Callithrix jacchus: one gene and its partners. The protein of the gene in region 1 binds, or shares a complex with, the protein of each later gene. Links are inferred from orthologs where the notes say so. Each region holds a gene or a part of one and is shown in the gene's direction. Other genes may lie near its edges.

Region 1 (4,133 bases):
TGGTTGTGTTCTTGTTATTGGGATAACATACCTGAGTTAATCAAACTTAATTAGCAAGGGAGTATGGTGAGTGAATGAGATAATTTATACAAACACGTCAGCACATAGTACACAGAAAGTGCTCAATAAGCGGTTGCCATCATCAATACCATTATTATGATGGATCTATCCTCCTCGAATTAAGGATGGTCATCAGAACCCCAGGGAAGATTTCTGCATTGTCAAAAAGCTGGTGGGCAAGGATTGCCCCACCCTAACCCCAACCTAGGGCATAGGTCCGTGGGGAAGGCACAGGGCAGCATGGGGTGGGGATTGGTTTTCTACTGACTCACTCACTTGCTTCTTCCACCATCATTCACAGCCACCCCCTTCCCAATGCTTATTCATTCACTCGCACCATTCCCTGCCTGCTAGGATGGTGCCACTCCTGAGTTACAATCCTGGCACCAGGTAGCCTCAGTTTGAATCCCGGCCACACCCTGTGATCTTGGGAAAGGTCTTCAGTCCCTCTACGTCCCATATTTCCTCATCTGTAAAATGGGAATAGTAACTGGTACCCACCTCAGAGATTTGTTGTGATCTTTGAGTGAGATAAACTATACTGAGTGCTTAGTATACAGTCGGTGATATATAAATGCCAGCTATTTGTCAGTGTTTTTTGAGACCCTGGCTTTGGCTCTAGGCCACCTGAGTTCCAGTCTCAGTTCTGCCATGTATTGACTCTTTGATCCTGGATAAGTCACTTAACTGCTCCGTGCCTTAGTTTCCCCACTTTGTATTCCTCCCCATTCACCTGCTTTATCTCCCTCCATTCCTGCTACTTAACTTGTTTCCTCTCTGCCACCCCTCACCAGCATGTCAGACATACCAAACAAGGGATTTTTGTGTGCTTGGCACACAGTAGATGCACAATAAATGTTGAAGGACTGAACTAATTTGGGTTTGAGCCACAGGGAGCTTGGGGGATGTGGGTGATTGGATAGATTCTGGAGACTCTAGGGGACTAGGCTGGGGTGAATGCTGTCTCTAAGCTCTCCACTGGGGCGGCTTGGAAGGAATAGTGACTGACGTGGAGATGGGGGAGGGGGCTGGCCTGGGCAAGGCCCAGGGGGAGGGAGAGGAGGAGGGTGGGAGAGGAGGAGGGTGTATCTCCTTTCTCCGGCCCGCCCCTTGGCTTCTGCACTGATGGTGGGTGGATGAGTAATGCATCCAGGAAGCCTGGAGGCCTGTGGTTTCCGCACCCGCTGCCACCCCCGCCCCTAGCGTGGACATTTATCCTCTAGCGCTCAGGCCCTGCCGCCATCGCCGCAGATCCAGCACCCAGAGAGACACCAGAGGTAAGCAAGGCCCCAGGGTGGCCCAGCAGGGACTGGGGCTGGCTTGCAGCTTGGGTGCTGGCCACCAGGCCTGTGCACTCCAGTGCCAAATGCCTGTCTGCTCAGCTTGGCCTGCCGGTACCAGGACCCTGGGCTAGTCAAGGGGGAAGAGGGTCCGAGGCTGAAACCGCTTTCCCAGCCCCGAGGCTCCGAACTCCCTAGAACACCTGACATTCATCCCCAACTCCCGTGACCCCCCCCTGAATATCACAAATGCTTTCCAAATCTCCCACCTCCGCCGCAAACTCCTTCATCCCGTAACTTCATCGCCCCCTAAATCCCCATCGCAAATCCCTGCAGCTCCCTAAACTCCCCCAGCTCCCAAACTCCCAACCATTTTTTTTTTTTAAACACGGAGTCTCACTCTGTCACTCAGGCTGGAGTGCAGCGGCGGAATCTCGGCTCACTGCAACCTCCTCCACCTCCTGGGTTCAAGCGATTCTCCTGCCTCAGTCTCCTGAGTAGCTGGGACTACGGGCGCCTGCCACCATGCCCGGCTGATTTTTTGTATTTTTAGTAGAGACCGGATTTCACCGTGTTAGCCAGGATGGTCTCGATCTCCTAACCTCATGATTTGCCCACCTCGGCCTCCCAAAGTGCTGGGATTACAGGCGTGAGCCACTGCGCCCAGCCCCAAACTTCTTTTGCCCTCAAATTCCTCAAGTATCCCCATTGCTTTAAGCCCCCAAATTCCCCCAGCCCCTTCAACCTCCAAACTCCCCCAGCTCCCTAAACCCCTAACCTCCTCCAAATTCTTAACCTCCCTAAATCCCCCAGCCCCCATATCTCTTAATATACACAACCCCTAAGCTCTCCACCTCCTCGAAACTCATTCATCCCCCCAATCCCAAATTCCTCACTCCCAAACTCCTCAACCTCCAGACTTCCCCAATCCCCTCATTCCTCAAAATTCCTGAGCCCCCTCCTCCCCCAAGTGCCACAACTCCATAATCCCGCAACTCACTCAGTCCCTCAATAACTTAAATTCTCCCAACTCTCTAAATCCTAAATTCCTCTGGGCTCCCCAATCCCCTGAAAATCCCCAAATTCCCCAACACTTCAAGACCAAATCCAGTCCCCTAATCCCCTCCATAGGTTGCCCCAGAGCGGGATGGGGTGGATGACCTGCCCAGGTCTGCAGATCAGCTGGCCTGGGGCCTGCCTGACATCCCCCTTTCCCGCAGAACCAACTATGGCCCCCTTTGCACCCCTGGCTTCCGGCATCCTGTTGTTGCTGTGGCTGATAGCCCCCAGCAGGGCCTGCACCTGTGTCCAACCCCACCCACAGACGGCCTTCTGCAATTCTGACCTTGGTGAGTTCTCATCCCACTCAGCCCACACACTCTGCCTTGGTTTCCCCTCTCAGTCTGGTGGGGCTCACAATGTCACTTACCTCTGGATCGATTCCACTTGCCCCTGCACTTCCTCTGCTTTAGCCACACTGGCATCCTCACACTTCCTTGTGTACTCCGGGCCCAAGCCTACCACAGGACCTTCTTGCTGGCTGCTCCCTCTGCCTGGTACACTTTCCCCCCAGGTATCCACATGGGTGGCTGCCTCAAACGTCACCTTCTCAGGATAGCCTTCCCTGGCCATCCTGTTTAAAATTTTAACCCCTGCCCCTTAGTACTCCTGATCTCCTGTTAAAGAGAAAAATATTCAGTGATACTCATTATAGCACACAGTAAGGAAGACCATATTCAGGACTATGGTGATGGATATAGGAACCACTGCCATGGGATCTTGCAGTCAGAGGGGAGAGATTGGGCTCAACACTGAATATAGCATGGGCCAGTGGGAATGTACAGCCAAGGACCAGTGTGAGGGTCTGTGGGTGGAAATCACTGAAAGGAAACATCAGGGGTAATGGATTCTGGCAAAACCGACCTAACAGGATTCTTGCTGAAGGCAGGCCAGAAGAATCACACATCACCTGGGGGATGGTGGAAGATGAAGAACCTGATCAGGTAGCAAGGATGATCAGACGTTGAGGATGATCAGATAGAAGGATGACCAGAGACTGAGGAGGATCAGATATGGAGGACAGGGGTTCTTGCTAAACTAATCCCAGGGCTGTTTGCTAAAATTAAATTTTACAAGGAAGTGCACAGATGGGCCTAGGAGAAGGTTCAGGAGCCTGAGTAAAGTTTGGTCAAGCAAAGAATCTTTGTCATCCCCTTACCCAGGTGTGTAATTCCCCATTATCGTTACTATCTTCTAACATTCCCATATACTTCTTTTGTTTGTTCTTAGCCTGTCTCCTCCTGGCTAGAATGTGAACTCCACAAAGGAAGGGATCTCTGTGTTTTGTTCACTGCTGTGTCCCTAACACCCAGAACAATGTCTGGGACACAGTGGGCACTCCGAAATATTTGTGGAGTAAATGAACAAATGAATATATGAAAATGGCTTAAGCAGTGCCTGGCAAAGAGAGACATTCAACATACAGACGAAACAATGAACAAATGTGTGTAAATCACTTAGCGTGCTGTCTGGCATCCAATAAACCCTCTTTATGTACACACTTTGCTGGTATTATGAGATGATGATCTTATTTTTTTGGCTCATGCAGTCCATTTGACTCATATTTCCCTCCTCTCCTGCAGTCATCAAGGCCAAGTTCGTGGGGGCACCAGAAGTCAACCAGACCACCTTATACCAGCGTTATGAGATCAAGATGACCAAGGTACTCCCCCTGCCCCTTTCCCAGCATTTTCTAACCTCTTCCTCCTGGTCAAAACAGAAGCTTCTGGCCAC
Region 2 (3,652 bases), on another chromosome or scaffold:
CAAATGCCGAAGGTTTTTTCATGTAACTTGACATATTAGTTTCACAATTTATACGGCAGAGCAAAGACCAAGAATAGCCAGGATACTCCTGGTGAACCCATCTTATTAGGTGAGGAAAAAAGCTCTATGTAATAAAGCTTTAAAAGGTAAGATGTGGTATCAGTGCAGGGAGCAATAAATTAACCAATAGAGCTATTCGGGTATGGCAGCTTCTTTATCAGATTTTTAAACTACTTTTTCCGTTTGTTTTACTGGCAATATGTTATTTGCATTTCTATTACTTCTTGAGTCAGTTTCATTAACATGTTTTTCTAAAAATGTGCCAGTTTTGCCTGTTTTCAAATCAATCAGCATGAAGTTTTTTGAAAATTATTTTGTTGTAATTTGAATTATTGCTGTAATTCCTAATATTGAATCCTTTTGCCTTTCTCTTTTGTTCTTCATCAATCTCACAATATGCATAAAAATTTTAGTGACCTTTTCAAAGGACTGACTTTTGGCTTTATTTATTCTCTATATTATATTTTGATTTCTGTTCATATCCTTATGTTGCCTTAATGTTTGCTTACTTTGAATTAACCCTATTATTATTTTTATAGCTTGTTTGATACTTACTTCATTAACTTGTAACCTTTTTCCTTTTCTAATATAAGCATTTATACCTACAAATAACAATTTCTTCTTTTTATCCAGCAAATTTTGATATGCAGTATTTTCATTTTATTCACTTTTAATTTTTCAATATCCCATTTTAATTTTTTCCCTGGGCTCATAGGTGATATTGGAATATTTTTAAATGTCAAGCTGTATGGAGATTTTTTAAATATTTATTTCTGACAATGTCACTTTTGTGAAGATTAAATGAATGTGAAATTGCAGCAGGAATTGTAAAGGATTGCATAACTCAAAAGTATTGTTATCCAGTAATTTATCCATATTTATTTACCACTTGCGGTGTCAGACACCACACTCATTAGTGGAGGTCACTGAAGAGGGTTTATGTTCTAGAAGGGGCAGCAGAGATGAAACCATAGGCAGCCTACGTATGACAAGTGCTAGGATAGAGAGAAGGAAAGGTGCCGTGGGAGCACCTGAGTCATACCCAGGGCTCAGCAAAGATCCCTCAGAGGAGGAGATGTTTAGGATGGGTCTTGAAGTTCTCTCTTGCTGTGCAGAGACGGGCTGGGTGTATAGAAAGTATAAAGGTCTTTAAGAAAGAAGAAATTGTTTTTACCACATAAGAGCATACCTGGAACTGCTCAGATGATACAAAGCAAGAGAGATGAACAACAGATGGACATTTTAGATTAGCGAATCTGGCAGTCGTGTGAACAAGAGATTCAGGCTCGGGATCGAGGAGAATGATGTCACAAAGTAAAGGGAGAGAGATGGATGGGATTTTATTCTAACTCGCTGGAATATGAATGAATCCTGATAATATTCAGAAGCACAGGTTGGAATTGGTGGCTATGATATCTAAAAGGAAGTGTCCAATAAGCAACTGATCTATTGGTATGGAACTTGAGAGAGAGAGAGAGAGGTCTAGGTGAGAAATTCAGGTTAAAAAGTCATCAGCAAATTATAAGAAATAATCAAAACTGGCCTATACATAAACTATAACTTACAGATACAAATATATAAGCCACAGAAAGGGCAGTTAATCAGAGTTATCTACTGATTTATTCATTCTTTCATTCACTCACTCATTTAGGGAATATTTGTTAAAGACTGGCTGTGAACTGAGCATTATTAGGTTGGAATTAAAAACAAGACATCCTCTTTACCACAAAAATGCTCTAGAATCATTTTTAAAATCAATGGCTTCATGTAAAATTTCTTGGGTTTATTTTTTCAACAGGAAATGAGCTCTGGGCCATCAGAGGAAATGAGGTTCAAGCAGGTTATCCAAGAGGCATCCACACCCTGGGTTTTCCTCCAGCCGTAAAGAAAATCGACGCAGCTGTTTCTGATAAGGAAAAGAAGAAAACGTACTTCTTCGTAGAGGAGAAATATTGGAGGTGAGATGCAAGAGAAAGGACTTTGTTCGAAGTCTGATTAAGAAAATTGGCCGGGCGCGGTGGCTCACGCCTGTAATCCCAGCACTTTGGGAGGCCGAGGTGGGTGGATCACGAGGTCAAGAGATCGAGACCATCCTGGTCAACATGGTGAAACCCCGTCTCTATTAAAAACACAAAAAATTAGCTGGGCATGGTGGCGCGTGCCTGTAATCCCAGCTACTCTGGAGGCTGAGGCGGGAGAATTGCCTGAACCCAGGGGGCGGAGGTTGCGGTGAGCCGAGATCGCGCCATTGCACTCCAGCCTGGGTAACAAGAGCGAAACTCTGTCTCAAAAAAAAAAAAAAGAAAAAGAAAATTATTTTAAGGATATCCCCCTACTCCCACCCTCTTTCTCTAACTTCAAAAGTTATGATTATGCAGAAGATAGCTTATTGTTGTTCTACTTCCCGGCTACGAATGGCCCTCAGAGTGCTGATCACTGAGCCGTTTACTCACACATCAAAAGCCACCAGGAAAGGCTAGCTGAGGTCCGGAGGCATTTGTGCCAGTCACCATGTGGCTGTCATAGGGCGCCCAGGTACGGCAAGCTTTGGAGACAAGGTCTACAGGGTCCTAGTGTGACTGAAAGCCAGAGGTTTATTTTTATCTAAATGATTTAATTAATTTCGCATATTATGTGAACACAGTCTTTATGTATTTGCGGTAGACACATAGAAATTTGGGTTCTGTGTGTCCAGGCTTAGAAAATTTACCTTAGACATATGAACTTCTGTAAAATGTCATATTCCTGTTTCTGGGAAAATGTTGTTTTATGTGTTAAACTTGTAAGTCCAGGGAAGTAACCTATTCTTGCAGCTCTATAAAGTGTTTAACACCTTTTTATACAACTTAAAAAGTTTGTCTATGACTCCACACTGGAAAATTAATATCACATTATACTATTGTGTGTAACGGTACTACTATACAACATCGAACTGTATTTCTTTCATCTTATTTAGATTTGATGAAAATAGCCAGTCCATGGAGCAAGGCTTCCCTAGACTAACAGCTGATGACTTTCCAGGTGTTAAGCCTAAGGTTGATGCTGTATTCCAGGCATTTGGTAAGAAGACCCTCATTTCATTGTCAACAGGGAAATCTCCAGGCATTTTTATCATTTCAAAATGAAGTACAGAATCAAAACGGTTTTTAAATCATTCAGTCTGATATCTTTTTTACTCCAAATTTCTGATAATCCTCACTTTCCAACTTATGCAAAGTAGATTAAAAATTTTTTTTTCCTGAATAACTTCCAAGTCTCTGTTTCATGGCTGCACATAAAATCAAAGGATACTCCTTCACACAGAAGCCATTATCTCTCAGGTCACTAGGTTTGTATAAAAATGCAATCCGTGTGAGCCAGGCTAATGGCTGGTTGTCATTCTATTCTATCCCATCCTGTTATCCCGCCCCAGGGGAGCCTTGTCAGGGCTTCTGTTGCAGTCTGCAATTGTCTACATTAGTCATTTGTAAATAAAATAGTTGTCCTCCCCTATGCTCAAAATAGGTAAAATGTAATTCCTGGTAATGGGGAAATAGGAAAGCAGAACTCGTGTGTGATTACTCTGAAGGAATTTTGGAGTGAGCTGCCAGTG
Region 3 (3,325 bases), on another chromosome or scaffold:
TCCTTGTTGCTGCTCATGAACTTGGCCACACCCTGGGTCTCTTTCACTCAGACAACACTGAAGCTTTGATGTACCCGGTCTACAACCCGCTCACAGACCTGACTCGGTTCCACCTGTCTCAAGATGATGTGAACGGCATTCAGTCCCTCTACGGTAAGTGACGCTGGGAAAATTAGCCATTGTAGCTTTGCAATGATGGTCTTTAGAAAAGCTTTCAAATGCTACAGAAAGTATTGATGGTTTAGCGTAAAGCACTTTGAGAATGTCTGGAAAGCATACAAATTGGCATATATTGAAACGTATCACATTTCTCCTGATGTTCCCCTTAGGACCTCACCCTGGTTCCCCTGAGAAACCTCCGGTGCCCAAGGAGACTGTCCCTCCAGAAACTGAGGCACCAGCCACATGCGATCCTGCTTTGTCCTTCGATGCCATCAGCACTCTGAGAGGAGAAATCCTATTCTTTAAAGACAGGTCAGACTGAAAACTCACATTTTCCTCTCTATCATTTTACTCTACAAAGCTTGGAAAGGAAAACAAACAGAAACGTCTGAGCTTGAAATCATTTAGATACGGTACTGCCTTTTCCCACGTTTTCCTGAAACTGTCAGGTTCATTTTTGAAGGCTCAGGATGATCTGGTTCTTGTCTCCTAATTGCTATTTCCAAATGCTTTAAGCCACGGTTGCTTTTCAAAAGGCAGGAGTAGATATTTAGAATAATAATTTTGTTTTTACTTCCTTCAAAAATGACATGAGGATCAACATTACATTTAATCAATTAATTTACTTACTGATGAGTCAATACGCACATGACAAACATTCAAACAGCACGAACCAGAAGAAAACTAACAATTTTAGTTCCTGGTTCTCCCTGCATTCACCCACAGTCAAGACTTTTTGTGCATCCCTCCAGAACCATTCTCTGCATATATAAGAACGCATTTATACAGCACGTACGCATACATACACACTGCCACCTATTGAAGAGGGTATACAGCACGTGTGCATACATGCACATTGCCTAGCTTATTGAAGAGGGTATACAGCACGTACGCATACATACACACTGCCCCCTTTTGAAGAGGGTATACAGCACGCATGCATACATATACACACTGCCACCTATTGAAGAGGGTATACAGCACGTATGCATACATACACACTGCCCCTTATTGAAGAGGGTATACAGCACGCATGCATACATGCACATTGCCTAGCTTATTGAAGAGGGTATACAGCACGTACGCATACATACACACTGCCACCTATTGAAGAGGGTATACAGCACGTGTGCATACATGCACACTGCCTAGCTTATTGAAGAGGGTATACAGCACGTACTCATACATACACACTGCCCCTTATAGAAGAGGGTATACAGCACGTGTGCATACATGCACACTGCCTAGCTTATTGAAGAGGGTATACAGCACGTACTCATACATACACACTGCCCCTTATAGAAGAGGGTATACAGCACGTATGCATACATGCACACTGCCTAGCTTATTGAAGAGGGTATACAGCACGTACGCATACATACACACTGCCCCTTATAGAAGAGGGTATACAGCACGTGTGCATACATACACACTGCGTAGCTTATTGAAGAGGGTATACAGCACGTATGCATACATACACACTGCCCCTTATTGAAGAGGGTATACAGCACGTATGCATACATACACACTGCCCCTTATTGAAGAGGGTATACAGCACGTGTGCATACATGCACACTGCATAGCTTATTGAAGAGGGTATACAGCACGTGTGCATACATGCACACTGCATAGCTTATTGAAGAGGGTATACAGCACGTATGCATACATGCACACTGCATAGCTTATTGAAGAGGGTATACAGCACGTATGCATACATACACACTGCCCCTTATTGAAGAGGGTATACAGCACGTATGCATACATACACACTGCCCCTTATTGAAGAGGGTATACAGCACGTATGCATACATACACACTGCCCCTTATTGAAGAGGGTATACAGCACGTGTGCATACATACACACTGCCTAGCTTTTTGAACAGCATATATACTGTTTGGCACACATTGCAGGTAGTTAAGCTCATCCTGGGATAATTCATTTGCATGAAGAACAACCTTTCTTTCATAGAAGACATTTCTCTGGAACCTATGACAGGAGACTCACTGCAGTCTTCTAAAGAAAAAGGAAAGAAATTTTCTAATGGCAATATACCTGATTTCTATCTGTCATCCAGCCTAGAAGATGAGAAAATGGGGGAAGTCGGGTGAGGCAAGACGGTGAGGAAAATATTCTAAAGGTAAAAGGCGGTATTTCCATTTACATTCCTTTTTACATATGTTTTAGACACTTTTGGCGCAAATCCCTCAGGAAGCTTGAACCTGAATTGCATTTGATCTCGTCGTTTTGGCCGTCTCTTCCTTCGGGCCTGGATGCCGCATATGAAGTTACCAGCAAGGATCTTGTTTTCATTTTTAAAGGTAATTATTCTATCGTCATTTCTTTAACTTGCCAGAATAAGCAAGAAACTGAACAACACTTTACTTTTCTCTACTGCATCGGGTTCTGGTTAGTACAGCAGTCACAGGTAATGAAGTGATAACCAGGGCTGATACTATTGTACTTACATTTTATAAAAACAAGAAAGGAAGATCAACTACCCAGAGTTGTAAATGTTCTCATTTGACCTCGGTTCATTCATTCAGTCTGCAAATTTTTGCTAAAAGCCTGCTATGAGCTGGTGACTAAATCTAAAATTTGGGCTACTTCTTCACCATGATAATCAAAGATGCTATAGCGTATTTCTAAAGCTAAAAGGCTTAACTGTTATAATTCGATATGACCCTGAATTATTGATATTTAACAGGAAATCAGTTCTGGGCCATCAGAGGAAATGAGGTTCAAGCTGGATACCCAAGAGGCATCCACACCCTGGGTTTCCCTCCAACAGTAAGGAAAATTGATGCAGCCATTTCTGATAAGGAAAAGAAGAAAACCTACTTCTTTGTAGAGGACAAATACTGGAGGTGAGATGCAAGAGAAATGACTTTGTATGAAGCCTAATTAGGGAAATTATTTTTTTTTCTAAGGAAATCCCCCACCCCAACCTTAGGCCTGCTTCTCTCTCAGTAGGAAGGATGGGACTTCAGACAACTGTGGGAAAGTTCTTACTTTAAAACACAGAAGCCCTATAAGCTCTCCTGCTCTGAGTCCCAAGTGCAGTTGCTGGTGCTTCCCTTGGTGATGTCACCCCACCTGCCTGGAGCCCCCTTTTCTCTCCTCAACCCATTCAAATCCTGCCCATCCTTCAAGTCCTGGCTCAAG

The links.
Region 2: the proteins of TIMP1 (region 1) and stromelysin-2 are in contact, whole or in part, in a crystal structure (PDB 3V96), measured with the Homo sapiens proteins. The link is inferred for Callithrix jacchus from reciprocal best matches to the Homo sapiens genes TIMP1 and MMP10. Residues at the interface, in NP_003245.1 of Homo sapiens: Cys24, Thr25, Cys26, Val27, Pro28, Asn37, Leu57, Tyr58, Pro87, Met89, Glu90, Ser91, Val92, Cys93, Arg98, Thr121, Cys122, Cys155, Leu156, Ser157, Ile158, Gln173, Leu174, Gly177, Ser178, Glu179, Lys180; in NP_002416.1 of Homo sapiens: Phe170, Tyr171, Gly177, His178, Ser179, Leu180, Ala181, His182, Ala183, Tyr184, Pro185, Tyr191, Asp205, Ala206, Ser207, Gly208, Val214, His217, Glu218, His221, Phe226, His227, Thr231, Tyr236, Pro237, Leu238, Tyr239, Asn240, Phe242, Thr243.
Region 3: the proteins of TIMP1 (region 1) and stromelysin-1 are in contact, whole or in part, in a crystal structure (PDB 1UEA), measured with the Homo sapiens proteins. The link is inferred for Callithrix jacchus from reciprocal best matches to the Homo sapiens genes TIMP1 and MMP3. Residues at the interface, in NP_003245.1 of Homo sapiens: Cys24, Thr25, Cys26, Val27, Pro28, Pro29, Val52, Thr56, Leu57, Tyr58, Pro87, Ala88, Met89, Glu90, Ser91, Val92, Cys93, Thr121, Cys122, Leu156, Ser157, Pro159, Gln173, Leu174, Gly177, Glu179; in NP_002413.1 of Homo sapiens: Phe100, Thr102, Phe103, Phe171, Tyr172, Gly178, Asn179, Val180, Leu181, Ala182, His183, Ala184, Tyr185, Ala186, Thr207, Thr208, Gly209, Thr210, Val215, His218, Glu219, His222, Phe227, His228, Tyr237, Pro238, Leu239, Tyr240, His241, Ser242.

The regions. Positions count from the first base shown.
Region 1 is NC_133524.1:48,547,364-48,551,496, forward strand, and holds the start of TIMP1 (metalloproteinase inhibitor 1), read left to right. Parts: upstream 1-1,298; 5' UTR 1,299-1,337; intron 1,338-2,560; 5' UTR 2,561-2,568; coding exon 2,569-2,689; intron 2,690-3,982; coding exon 3,983-4,062; intron 4,063-4,133. UniProt on the Homo sapiens protein: Metalloproteinase inhibitor that functions by forming one to one complexes with target metalloproteinases, such as collagenases, and irreversibly inactivates them by binding to their catalytic zinc cofactor.
Region 2 is NC_133511.1:2,809,944-2,813,595, reverse strand, and holds part of stromelysin-2, read left to right. Parts: intron 1-1,858; coding exon 1,859-2,018; intron 2,019-3,016; coding exon 3,017-3,120; intron 3,121-3,652. UniProt on the Homo sapiens protein: Can degrade fibronectin, gelatins of type I, III, IV, and V; weakly collagens III, IV, and V. Activates procollagenase.
Region 3 is NC_133511.1:2,878,711-2,882,035, reverse strand, and holds part of stromelysin-1, read left to right. Parts: coding exon 1-153; intron 154-329; coding exon 330-474; intron 475-2,347; coding exon 2,348-2,481; intron 2,482-2,867; coding exon 2,868-3,027; intron 3,028-3,325. UniProt on the Homo sapiens protein: Metalloproteinase with a rather broad substrate specificity that can degrade fibronectin, laminin, gelatins of type I, III, IV, and V; collagens III, IV, X, and IX, and cartilage proteoglycans.